Linked DNA regions of Astyanax mexicanus. The protein of the gene in region 1 binds, or shares a complex with, the protein of each later gene. Links are inferred from orthologs where the notes say so. Each region holds a gene or a part of one and is shown in the gene's direction. Other genes may lie near its edges.

Region 1 (3,757 bases):
GTATTGATTCAAATGTCAACCCTGCCTCTTTATAACACAACTGATGCTCTCAAACACATTAAGATTTATTTTATTTTTTTATTGATCCCGAAGGAAATTTAGGCAGGCGGCGGGGGCGGGGCAGGAGAAAAGGCTGATTGGGCTGTGTGCCTCTGATATGTGCCTCTGATATGACCGCAATAAAAGCATTTTTTTAAAGGTTAGAAAAGGTTTATAAAAAGTTTTAGGCAGGACTAGATATTAGGCTATTAATGGGAAAAAATATGGTTTAGTGCCTCTTTAAAGGTCCACATTTATTTAAAAAAATTAATACATTATTATTATTATTATTATTATTATTATTATTATTATTATTATTATTATTAATATTATTGTATATTTGTTGTTATTATTATTATTATTATTATTATTTTATTTTATTTTATTTTATTTTAAACTTATTTATATTTTTGCCAGTATTACAATAAGTATGATATTAAATCATTAATGAATCAAGGACTAATGCTATAATCTAAGATTATAGATAAAGTGGCGCTGATTTGAGCCGGGGCTAGGACTAAAATGTTCTCCGGTGTTCTGTCGAGTTGTGCTACCCATTGGTTTGTGCTACTTAGCGGCTCTGCGCATGCGTTAAACTCTCATGTTTACTATTTTTATATGTTTTTCCTGATCATTTAGTTTTTTTTTCTCGGGTGCACTGTACAATCTGGACTTGCTGGCATCGTTTGTTTGAATGTTACAACCATGTAAAAAATATAAGAAAAAACTATACAAACGTTTGGTTTCTAATGACAAAATATATTTCCTAAATATCCTGATACAGCGATAAGCTGTTCAAATATCATACCGAGACTTCTACTGCGAGCATGATCTAATATTTTATAATATTTAGCATTTTACCTTTAAGTACACACTAGGGTAGCATAGTTTGACCAGTTTGCTAAAATCGACAGAACACCGGTCATATTTCTGCTCCCGGAGCGGAAGGAGCGGAAGTGTTTGAGCTGCTGCAGGTTCGCGGCGGCAGATTGAAAGCAGTTTACAAAGTCCTGCTGCAGGTAAACTGGGGGAACTGGGGCTGTGTGAGTAGATTAGAGTGACTTAGAGAATAGTGTGAGAGGCTGTATTAAGAGAATAAAGTGTGTAAAATATGCGGGTGGAAAGTTTATTAGCTATATTATGGGCGTAGACAGCCTTTTTACTGCATTAGCTTAGCCTAGCCTGGCTTAGCTTAGCTACAGCACTGTTAGCCTGAGATAGTAGCTTAGCTTAGCTAGTTTAGGATATTTACTGGAACACTGGTGATAACACACAGCAAAAACTATGTAATGATAGTAAATATAATAATATAGTAATTATTGTTGTTAATTACTGTAATTAAACTGGTTGTTTGTAAAATTGTCCTTTATCAGCTGCATGGCGTTCACTGACTTGCTTTAGCCCAACTTTTATGGAGGTGTTTGTTTGTGTCTGTTTTGTGTGTTTTGGGTGTGTGTGTTCAGTGTTTAGTGTGTTTTTTGTTTTATCTTCTGTGGTGTGTCTTTAGTGTTGTGTTTTTAGTGTGTGTTTAGTATATTGTGTGTGTGTGTTTAGTATTTTGTTTGTGTGTGTGCGTGTTTAGTATTGTGTGTGCGTGTTTAGTATTTTGTGTGTGTTTAGTATTTTGTGTGTGTGCGTGTTCAGTATTGTGTGTGTGTTTCTCCTATGAGAATTTGTATTTGGAAGTTTTAGTTTGATCACAGGTGGAGTTATGGAATTACCAAACTAGTGAAACTATATTAGTATTTTAATCTCGAGTAGCAGTACTTAGAAAACATGGATCTATTTACTTTAGTAAGGTACATGTGGTATTCTAAAACTGTAGTGTATCTTGAAAATCTAGTGATTATTTACTTTTATAAATATCTCTCAGTGTTACATGTAGATTTAGTTTATTTTTGCATTTGTAATCCTAAATGCTTTATTTTTTTCCATTTTAGGCAAAAAAAAAAAAAAGTTTCATAATGTCCCGACCAATGGGAGACAGCCATAAGCGGTTCCTGCAAACGTTAATGAGTAATGGGATCATCAGCAGCATCCAGGCCAAAGCACTTCATCGACATTGCTGTGAAACCCATGGAGGTTTGTAGCCTTTTAGTATTATTTAATAAGATCCACATACACAAAATAATCACATATTTTTTGTTCCCGATATTCTTATTGATTAAGTCCACATTGTTTTTCATTGTATGTTTAGTCAGGACAACATTGACACTTCCACATTTTAGGATTAATAAAGGGAACATAGGTCCAGACTTTTAACTGTCCAGGGATGAAACACTGGGAATTTTGATTAAAAAGCTAAAATACCCTGTCATAATGAAATGCTGAAGTAGACACACTGACAAACTAAATCTAAAATATATCCTCAGTTACTGGAAGCATAGTGTAATATAAAAAATATGAAAAGTAGATGTGTTATTAAGGATTAGAGTAGAAATGAAGCTTCTAGTACGTTTGAATTTAGTCATATGAATAAAAAAAACAAAACATATCATACATATGGACTAGAGGTGGGTGATATGGCCCTAACATAATATCAGAATATATATTTTTTTTATTTTTGATAATATTCTTGTCGATATGACACTGAATAAAAAAAAAATATATATATTTATAAAAAAGAATATACTAATGCAACAAGACGAGTTTTTTTACATTAAATAAAAACAAACAAAAACAATAATCTATAAATGTGTGTTCGTTTTGTAAACAGTAACTTGCCAAGACTCTGTTTTTTGTATAAAATAATAAGTGTAACAAAAACAAAGTAATGTTACAACAAAACATCTACTACAGAACTAAATTTCAGTAAATGTATTGCCTACATATAACTGCAAACAGGTAAATACAGTACATAGCAAAACAAATACAAACAAATCTGCATTCAAGAACACAGAAAAATAATAAATAATTTATTGCATCAAATATTTGGTAATATTATTGCATGTAATATGGTATGGCACACTGAGATGAACAATATTTAGAGGTAATTATGACTAAACAGACAAGTGAAAAAATGTATTTTAAAAATCTAATATTTATAAAAGTTTTTTTTAATTAAATAGAAATACTTATTCATACTTATTTATTAACCATCTAACAGTCATTGACTGGAAGAGTTTTCCCACTCCTCCATGCAGGATTATTTCAGCTTTGTGATGTCTGAGTGTTTTGCTGCATAGCCTGCTTTTAATCATCCCACAGCACCTCGTTAAGATTAAGATCAAGGCTTTTATTGGCCATTCCAGATCTTTTTATTACTTTGTAAATTTGCGTTTTTGTTTATGTATTTTTTTTTTTGGTGTTCCCCTGCAGCGCATTATTCAGCAGATAGACTGGATGAATTCATTGATGTCATCAATGCTAATCTCCAGCCGATGTTCATGTACATCAGGAAAGGCATGTCAGAAGAGGATGGAGTTCAGTATTACGCCTTGGTGAGTGATGTAGTGAAATATAGATGAGCAGCAGTGCATCAGTTCTAACAGATGTGTAATGCAGTGTTTCTTTTTTATTCAGGTGAACACTGCCGAAACTGACATAACAAGGATGTCCTCTGATTATGCTGATAACGAGCTGGAGCTGTTCAGGAAAACGGTAAATAATTAACTTCAGAGTTAATAGGCTTTCGCTTATACACTGATGTGCCAAGAGTCAAGAGACAGGAACTCTTTGAGTGTGCCATGACTTTTGCCATGTCCAATGGAAGCTAAAG
Region 2 (3,757 bases), on another chromosome or scaffold:
GCGGCTACACCGGGCCCTGAGCGCGGCGCTGCGGCTCTGCGGATCGCGGCGGATCGCGGCGGATCGGGGTGAACCCGGTTCGGCTGCTTCTATTTTGGTTGAGTGTCGGTCGGACGCGCTTTTACTCCGTTTACATGACGTGGCCCCGCAGGAGTCGATAGGCTGCGGCCGCGACGCCAAATGACGGTTCTTGCTGCGATTTGTCCGCGTCTCCTGCGCGTGCATGTCAAAATAAAAGCCCCGAGACCGCGAAAGAACACATGAGGAATAATGTAATAAACTTTAAAAAGGGTTAACAAATGATGCAAGATTAAAGTCGTAACATTACGAGATTAGTCAAAACATTATGAGATTAAAGTCATTACATTACGAGATTAAAGTCATTACATTATGAGATTAAAGTCATAACATTACGATATTAAAGGCATAATATTACAATATTCAAGTCATAACATTATGAGATTAAAGTTGTAATATTACGAGGATAAAGTCGTAATATTACGAGATTAAAGTCATGACATTACAAGTTTAATTTCATAACGTTACAAGATTTAAGTCACATTACGAAATTAAAGTAAAAATATTATCATAATATTACAGGAATAAAGGTGTGACATTACGAGAATAATGTTGTAATATTACACGTTTATTAAGACTTTAATGCCATCTCATAATGTCATTCCATACGTCTTTTTCTCTCGTCATATTACTAGTTTATTATCGAAGTAAACTGTTTTTTAAATAGTGTTTGTTAGTTGAGCCCGCCTAAGTGCTTCTCAGAGTATTTTTAGTTGGTTTAATTACACGATTCATTATGTGTTATTTCATAGTAGGAAAAAAATCTTTGACTGGTACTGTATATTTGTAGAGCGAGAAGAAAGAGAAAGAAAGAAAAAAAGAAAGAGCGAGAGAGAGAGAGAGAGAGAGAGAGAGAGTGGGGGGGACTTTTATTTTGTCTTCACGTCACTCGCAGTAGTTGAGGCGGGCTGCAGGAGCCTGATTTGTTTTTGAGTCGCTATCTGAAGTAAAATAAACTGGTTATTTGTGTCGGGCTAGTTTTTATAAACCTTTTAACAACTTTAACACTATTATACTATATTTAGCTACGTGTGTGTACGCTTGTTTTGTTGGCTGAACCCGGTTGTTTCGGATAAATTATCTAACTACGGTTAGCTTAACATGCTAACTAACTAACTAGCTAACTTGTAAACACGCTTTACCCACTCGCAGGTCAAACCGGTTTACTTTCCGATTAATTCAGTTTCTTAACCAGTCCGCTGTAGCCGGAAATCACAGAGGTAACAGTTAGCGTTAAATTATGTCGTTGAGTTCAGTTCAGCCCGCGCTGTCCAGTCTGAAGACATGTCAGGTGGATATTGGGACAGGGATGGACATCGTGTCAGATGTCGCTCTGGATCTGGTGGAAGCCCAAGGTACAGTACAGCTATTTACCTAAATCTAACCTTAACTAATTAACTAACTAATCTTTAATCAAATACAGCCTTTTATACATACAGTTATATATTTCCTACATTGTAAATAAATGTTAAAGTATTTTAGACTATAAAGGAACACGTCGTGTAGTAAACGAGTAAAAAGTGTTAAACAAACCATAAAACCTATTTTGGTCCCACTTATCTGTGACTGGAACTTTCCTGTGCAACAGAGGTAACTCTTGCTCTTCCTTTTCTGGGGCGTTACTGATGAGAGCCAGTTTTATCATAACGTTTTTGATGGTCTTTGTGGTGACTGCACTTGAGGATACTTTAAGAGCTCTTGAAATGTTTCAGATTGACTGACCTTAATTTCTTAAAGTAAGGTTAATTATTGCGAGAATAAAGCCGTAATATTACAAGATTTAAGTCGTAATATTCTGAGTTTAGTCGTAATATTGGGAGATGAAAGTTGTAATGTTATGAGGTTAAAGTCGTAATATCAAGACTTTAATCTCGAAATATTACGACTTTAATAATGCCATTCCGTACGTTTTTTTCTCATCATATACTGAGTTTATTACTAAAGTAATTTGATTAACCGAGTTACTGGTTTAATGCGAAGCTTTATGGTTTACAGCACTGTAAACATGCTTGATGTTTCTTGTAATTGTTGAGAGTGTGTGTAGATTCAGATGCTGTGTTGCTATGATTCTTTTTATTTGTTTTATTCCAGGCACTGATGACAGTCCGAGTTTAAGAAAATTGGAGCAGATGATGTTAGAATGCGCTGCTCTGGACAGAGAGATAAACTGTTTTGTGGAATCTGTTGAGCAGACGACAGCTCATGTTAGTAATTTTAGATCGTTTCAATTCTAATTCTAATATACTTTTTTCTATCCCTCTAATTCATCTTGTATTTTCTCCTGTGTCTGCAGGTGAGACGAGAACCTCCACAGGCCATGTTCTCGCTGTTAAACTCTGTAAAGAATCGCTTTGCTGAACTAAAGGACAGGGATTCAGACGTTCAGAGACACAGCAAAGTAGTGGCTTTCAGAGACAACATCAGGAAATCTTTGGCACAAGGTATCGTACACACTGTCTCTTCCTGTCTCAAACACAGTACAGCGATTTCAACTCATTAAACTCAAAACAATAAATGATGATCTCTGTCGTAGGAAAACTCTTCCTCTTTCATTTATTGGTAGAATAGCTACAATCAAAATGACAGTGTTACTAAAAATCAACTATTTGTTTTTAATGATTCCCATCTACCTGGTTTCAGTTTCTGGTACCACTTTAAAATAAGACTACCTTTATAAAGGGTTTATAAATGGTTTACAATTAGTTTATTAATGGTTACTAAGTAGGTTGTAAATGCTTTAAAAATCATTAATAATCAGTTATAACACATACAGAGAAAGGACAGTGACCTGTTGTTTGCCAAATAGTGAACTATATTACACAGCCATCTGTATTGTTGCCTTTTCTACGTATATGTGTTATAACTGATTATTAATGATTTTTAAGGCATTTTCAACCTAATTAGTAACCATTAATAAACGAATAGTAAACCATTTATAAACCCTTTATGAAGGTAGTCTTATTTTAAAGTGGTACCCAGTTTCTTAATACCACTTTTTTGTTTAGCCAGCAGTGTATTATTGTACTATTATACTATTGTATTAATCGGATTCATTTAGGTAGCAGTTGTTTGAGATAAAAAGGTAATTAAACAGTTCTCATGTGTGTTTTTTTAGTGAACCAATCAGCGGCTGCCCATGTTGAAGAGGAGCTGGATGAAGACATTGCTGTTACACAGAGCCAGACAAACTTCACATGTCCTCTTACCCAGGTAAACTTTTGCTTTTAACAGATACATTAATAGTGTTGTCTCAAAATCCAACATTTTGACTTTGGATATGATACCTGCCTAAATATCTCAATAACAATACTGAAACAATACCACAGCATTTTAACATTATTAATAATACTAATAAAGCTTATTGAAATAATGCCACAGTGAATGCGTGCTTCAATCACAGCGATTAAAAAAAATGGCAGTTTAACAAAATACTTTTTTTTTTTTCTTGGGTGTTTTGCGCAACTACTGGGGTTTTAAATGATAAAATAATGTATTAGCATTAATCACATTATTTTTCCTAGTTAATTTGGTCATATTTCTTTTTTATTTTCCATAAATGCATCTTGTTTAAGCTCTGTGGTTGGATGCAAAGGTTTAATCAAAGTCTGTTTATTACGTAATTTAAGTAAATTCAGGAACATTTCATGGTGTGAGTGCATATTATGTATTACTTTTATAA
Region 3 (3,757 bases), on another chromosome or scaffold:
TTGGTCTGGCCCAAGATGAAAAAGTCCTTCAAAATCACACTAGAACATCAGCTTTACATAAAAAAAATTGTGCATTATGGATTGGTATGCTATGTTGCCAGTTCATTTTAAAGTATAAAATCAGCTCGGGCCAGGCTAATTCCAGGTTTTCCTCAAAGTGGGAGAGTAGTTCTCTTCATCTGATGTGTATGTGTTCTGGCCCAAGATGAAAAAGTCTTTCAAAGTTTGCCAGTTCATTTTAAAGTATAAAATCAGCTCGGGCCAGGCTACTTCCAGGTTTTCCTTAAAGAAGAAGACTAGTACTCTTCAGATCATGTGTATTTGGTCTGGCCCAAGGTTAAAAAGTCCTTCAAAATCACACTGGAACATCAGCTTTTCATAAAAAAAATTGTGCATTATGGATCGGTATGCTATGTTGCCAGTTCATTTTAAAGTATAAAATCAGCTCGGGCCAGGCTACTTCCAGGTTTTCCTTAAAGTAGAAGACTAGTACTCTTCAGATCATGTGTATTTGGTCTGGCCCAACATGAAAAAGTTCTTCAAAATCACACTTGAACATCTGCCTCATATTTTTTGAGCGCAATGGCTTTTAAAATATAATTTTATTAATCATATATTTAATTATTTATTGTAATATATAATTATAAATTCAGTAATTAAAATAAATATTTTACAATATACAAAATTATATTTAATAATATATTGTATATTTACATTGTTAATAAACAGATGTACTGCTTTTCTTCATTCTATCTCCTTCAGTGTTGATCTGTGAGGTGTTTAATATAAACAGCGGGTGTTTGTGAACGCTCCCTTTAGTTCACGGTGGTTCAGTGAAGCGGCAGCTGCGAATATCAAACCAACTTCAGCCGGGGAATACGAGGCTGCGAATATCGAGCCAAACGAATCTGGAGCTGCGAATATCAAACCAACTTCAGCCTCGTGGAAACATGCTCTCTCTATATAACTTATATACATTTATAAAAAGCACATAAGTAAGATTTATATTGTTGTAATATATCCAACAACAAAAAATACGCGAAAATAAAACAATAAATAAATAATTAAATAAATAAATAAATAAAGGGATTCAAAGAGAATTAGTATAATACATTTGGTAAACATTCTGAAACAAACTCCAGAGGGTCTTGAACGCTGCACGAAACCCGGAACGAAACCGACTTCCGTGTTTATTTTACCGCGAAGACACAACTAGCTCAGTGCTTAGAGCTGGATTCTGGAAGCAGCCTCACTTTATAGCTGTTTATTAACTATAATCTTAAAAAGTAGATGGATTTAATGTTAGCGATATGTGTTTCCAGATGTGTTTAGTGGTGTCTGAGTCACTAGTGAAGCGCTAGTGTTAACTAGCCGCGCGGGAGCTGCAGAATCTCTGCGGCACCAGTTCAGCTCACTAATAACAGCAGCAGCGGGTAATGTATCGCCAGCTAGCTAAACAGCTAACAACTAGCTATTTAACTACTGTTCTAAATGCTCTTTAATTGTGAAGGCTGTTAACTGCTAACCATTTATCCCACAGCTATTTCTGAATATTGATGCCACATTTAAAATTGATTTAGATAAATTTATACATGATCAGCTCATTTATGTTTTTTTTTATTATTATTGTGGGAACATGACGGTTAGCTAGCTAACTAATATTTTAAGGTAAAATACTTGATGTAACACAGCGTTAACCCTTCTGTTATGCTACGGGTCAAATAGACCCGTTTTAAAGTTTGAAGATCTAGAAAAAATAGTTACAAGTAGGGGTGTGCGATATCGTGTCGTACGCAATAATACCGCAGACATTTTTCGAATATTGTGACATTCCAAAAATATATAGTTTCCCATTATAGATCTACTAGAGACAGATTATATCTGTCCAATATCATTTATTTAACTTTAATCCTGGAAATATGGAGATATCTGGAGTGCATTATTGTTAGTATCATGACATTGTGGATCATTGACTTCTGTTACAAATCTGATAAAATTCTTGTATTTTTAAATATCTCAGTTAGGGGTGTGCCAAGTCATATCGTATGCAATAATAAAATGTAATTTTAATTTTGTTGCAGTAGTATAATTTTGAAAATAATTTTTTTGTATTTCGATGTTTTGTCATATCGCCAAGAGTATAGTTATCACAGAAATACTGTGAAATATCATTATATTATTTTAGAGCCATATCACCCACCCCTAGTTAAAAGTATTTTTTAGTATGAAACTTTTTCTGCTTGCTATAATTAGTGTATTCAACATAAAAGTTAATATGAAAATGATTCATCTCTCACATTTGCAACCACCCCCTGCAAAAACCAAAAACTAAAACAAAATTGAAGTGTAATGTTTCAGTGTTATGTAAAACTATGAATTGTATATGTTGGTCTTTCAAAAGTGAAACTTAAAAAAAAAAAAAACGAGTGAATTATCCTAAGTAAACCATTACCTGATAGAGGCACTAAATATTGATAGAATAATTAGTAATAGAGTTAGTAATTAAATATGTACACTGCTTGTTAGGAGTTTTCCGACATCTTTTGGATAATTAAACATGCATGCACCGGGTCAAATTGACCTGGGAACACCATTGCTGTCCCTGGCAAATGAACATAACAGAAGGTTTAAATGAAACAACAACAATTTATAACTCATAAGATCTCAGAATAGCTTCTGAAACATTAGAACTATTAGAATTATTTATTTTAAATTTAGTGAATGACATTTAGTTCATTTAACTTAAGTTAGAGAGAGTTGTCTAAATGTGCTATTTGTTAAATTAGGCTTCATTCACATTACCAGGCTGAAGTGACTCAAATCATTTTTTTTTGCTCAATATGACTCAGATCTGTTTTTTTTCCTCCACTTATAAGCAGCTAACACATAAATTTCACCTTTATAAAGCAACAATTTGTCTTCCAATTATGAATTTTTTGTTGTTAGTGAAGAATGCGACATTTGTATATGTATCAATGTGCGCATGTGAGGCGTTTGAGGGACCGATTAGTTCACAGATTACACACAGATACAGGTCACTTACAATTGTGAATGTGGACCGTCAAGATAGCCAAATCCCATCTGAGCAAATCGGATTGGAGGATTTGTGGCTTGTAATGTAAACGCAGGCTAATTGAATTTATTTTGGTTCATTCATTTAGGCAACTGAAGAATCTGACCACCGTTATTACATACAGAACCGCTACCGCTCTGTCGGGAGATGTCTGAGTCAAGGCGGAGAGTGAGCAGAGGAAGTCAGGAGGAGTCTGCTGCACATACCAATGGAGTAGGAGGACGCAGCAGGTCCGAGAGAGCAGCAGACACGGGTGATGAGGATGAGGGTGCTGGTCCATCAGGGATCCATGAGGAAGATGATGACCCGGCCCGTCGGAGGGAGATCAGAAGCCAGTACAGGGACCTCATCAACTCTGTCCAGCGTGAGCACCTCAATTGTGTTTTTTTCTACACAGCTGTGCTTTTTAGTGTTGCCAACTTGCTGCTACTTTTACACTTCTGTGTATCTAGTCTGAGTCATTTGTACTAACATGCCTGACTGTTGTTCCCAGAAAATCGTGAGGACATGTTGAACCCTGCCAACAATAAGCTGATTGATGTGTTAGAAGAAGCCAACAAACTGTTTGCTAATGGTAAATACGTATTTTTTTTTTTATATTGACCAACCGTGTGTTCTACATATTGTGACGGCAGGTTTATGACATAACTGACTTTTATTTGTGTGTAAATGTATTGATTTTTT

The links.
Region 2: nsmce1 (region 1) and nsmce2 share a complex: the UniProt entries of both Homo sapiens proteins name them as parts of the SMC5-SMC6 complex. The link is inferred for Astyanax mexicanus from reciprocal best matches to the Homo sapiens genes NSMCE1 and NSMCE2.
Region 3: nsmce1 (region 1) and nsmce4a share a complex: the UniProt entries of both Homo sapiens proteins name them as parts of the SMC5-SMC6 complex. The link is inferred for Astyanax mexicanus from reciprocal best matches to the Homo sapiens genes NSMCE1 and NSMCE4A.

Annotation. Positions count from the first base shown.
Region 1 is NC_064410.1:58,237,652-58,241,408, forward strand, and holds the start of nsmce1 (non-structural maintenance of chromosomes element 1 homolog), read left to right. Parts: upstream 1-976; 5' UTR 977-1,058; intron 1,059-1,979; 5' UTR 1,980-2,003; coding exon 2,004-2,121; intron 2,122-3,357; coding exon 3,358-3,479; intron 3,480-3,561; coding exon 3,562-3,639; intron 3,640-3,757. UniProt on the Homo sapiens protein: RING-type zinc finger-containing E3 ubiquitin ligase that assembles with melanoma antigen protein (MAGE) to catalyze the direct transfer of ubiquitin from E2 ubiquitin-conjugating enzyme to a specific substrate.
Region 2 is NC_064413.1:4,744,768-4,748,524, reverse strand, and holds the start of nsmce2 (E3 SUMO-protein ligase NSE2), read left to right. Parts: upstream 1-970; 5' UTR 971-1,318; coding exon 1,319-1,433; intron 1,434-2,169; coding exon 2,170-2,282; intron 2,283-2,371; coding exon 2,372-2,519; intron 2,520-3,193; coding exon 3,194-3,288; intron 3,289-3,757. UniProt on the Homo sapiens protein: E3 SUMO-protein ligase component of the SMC5-SMC6 complex, a complex involved in DNA double-strand break repair by homologous recombination. Is not be required for the stability of the complex.
Region 3 is NC_064414.1:35,024,885-35,028,641, reverse strand, and holds the start of nsmce4a (non-structural maintenance of chromosomes element 4 homolog A), read left to right. Parts: upstream 1-1,172; 5' UTR 1,173-1,433; intron 1,434-3,161; exon of another isoform or gene 3,162-3,197; 5' UTR 3,198-3,220; coding exon 3,221-3,437; intron 3,438-3,566; coding exon 3,567-3,647; intron 3,648-3,757. UniProt on the Homo sapiens protein: Component of the SMC5-SMC6 complex, a complex involved in DNA double-strand breaks by homologous recombination. The complex may promote sister chromatid homologous recombination by recruiting the SMC1-SMC3 cohesin complex to double-strand breaks.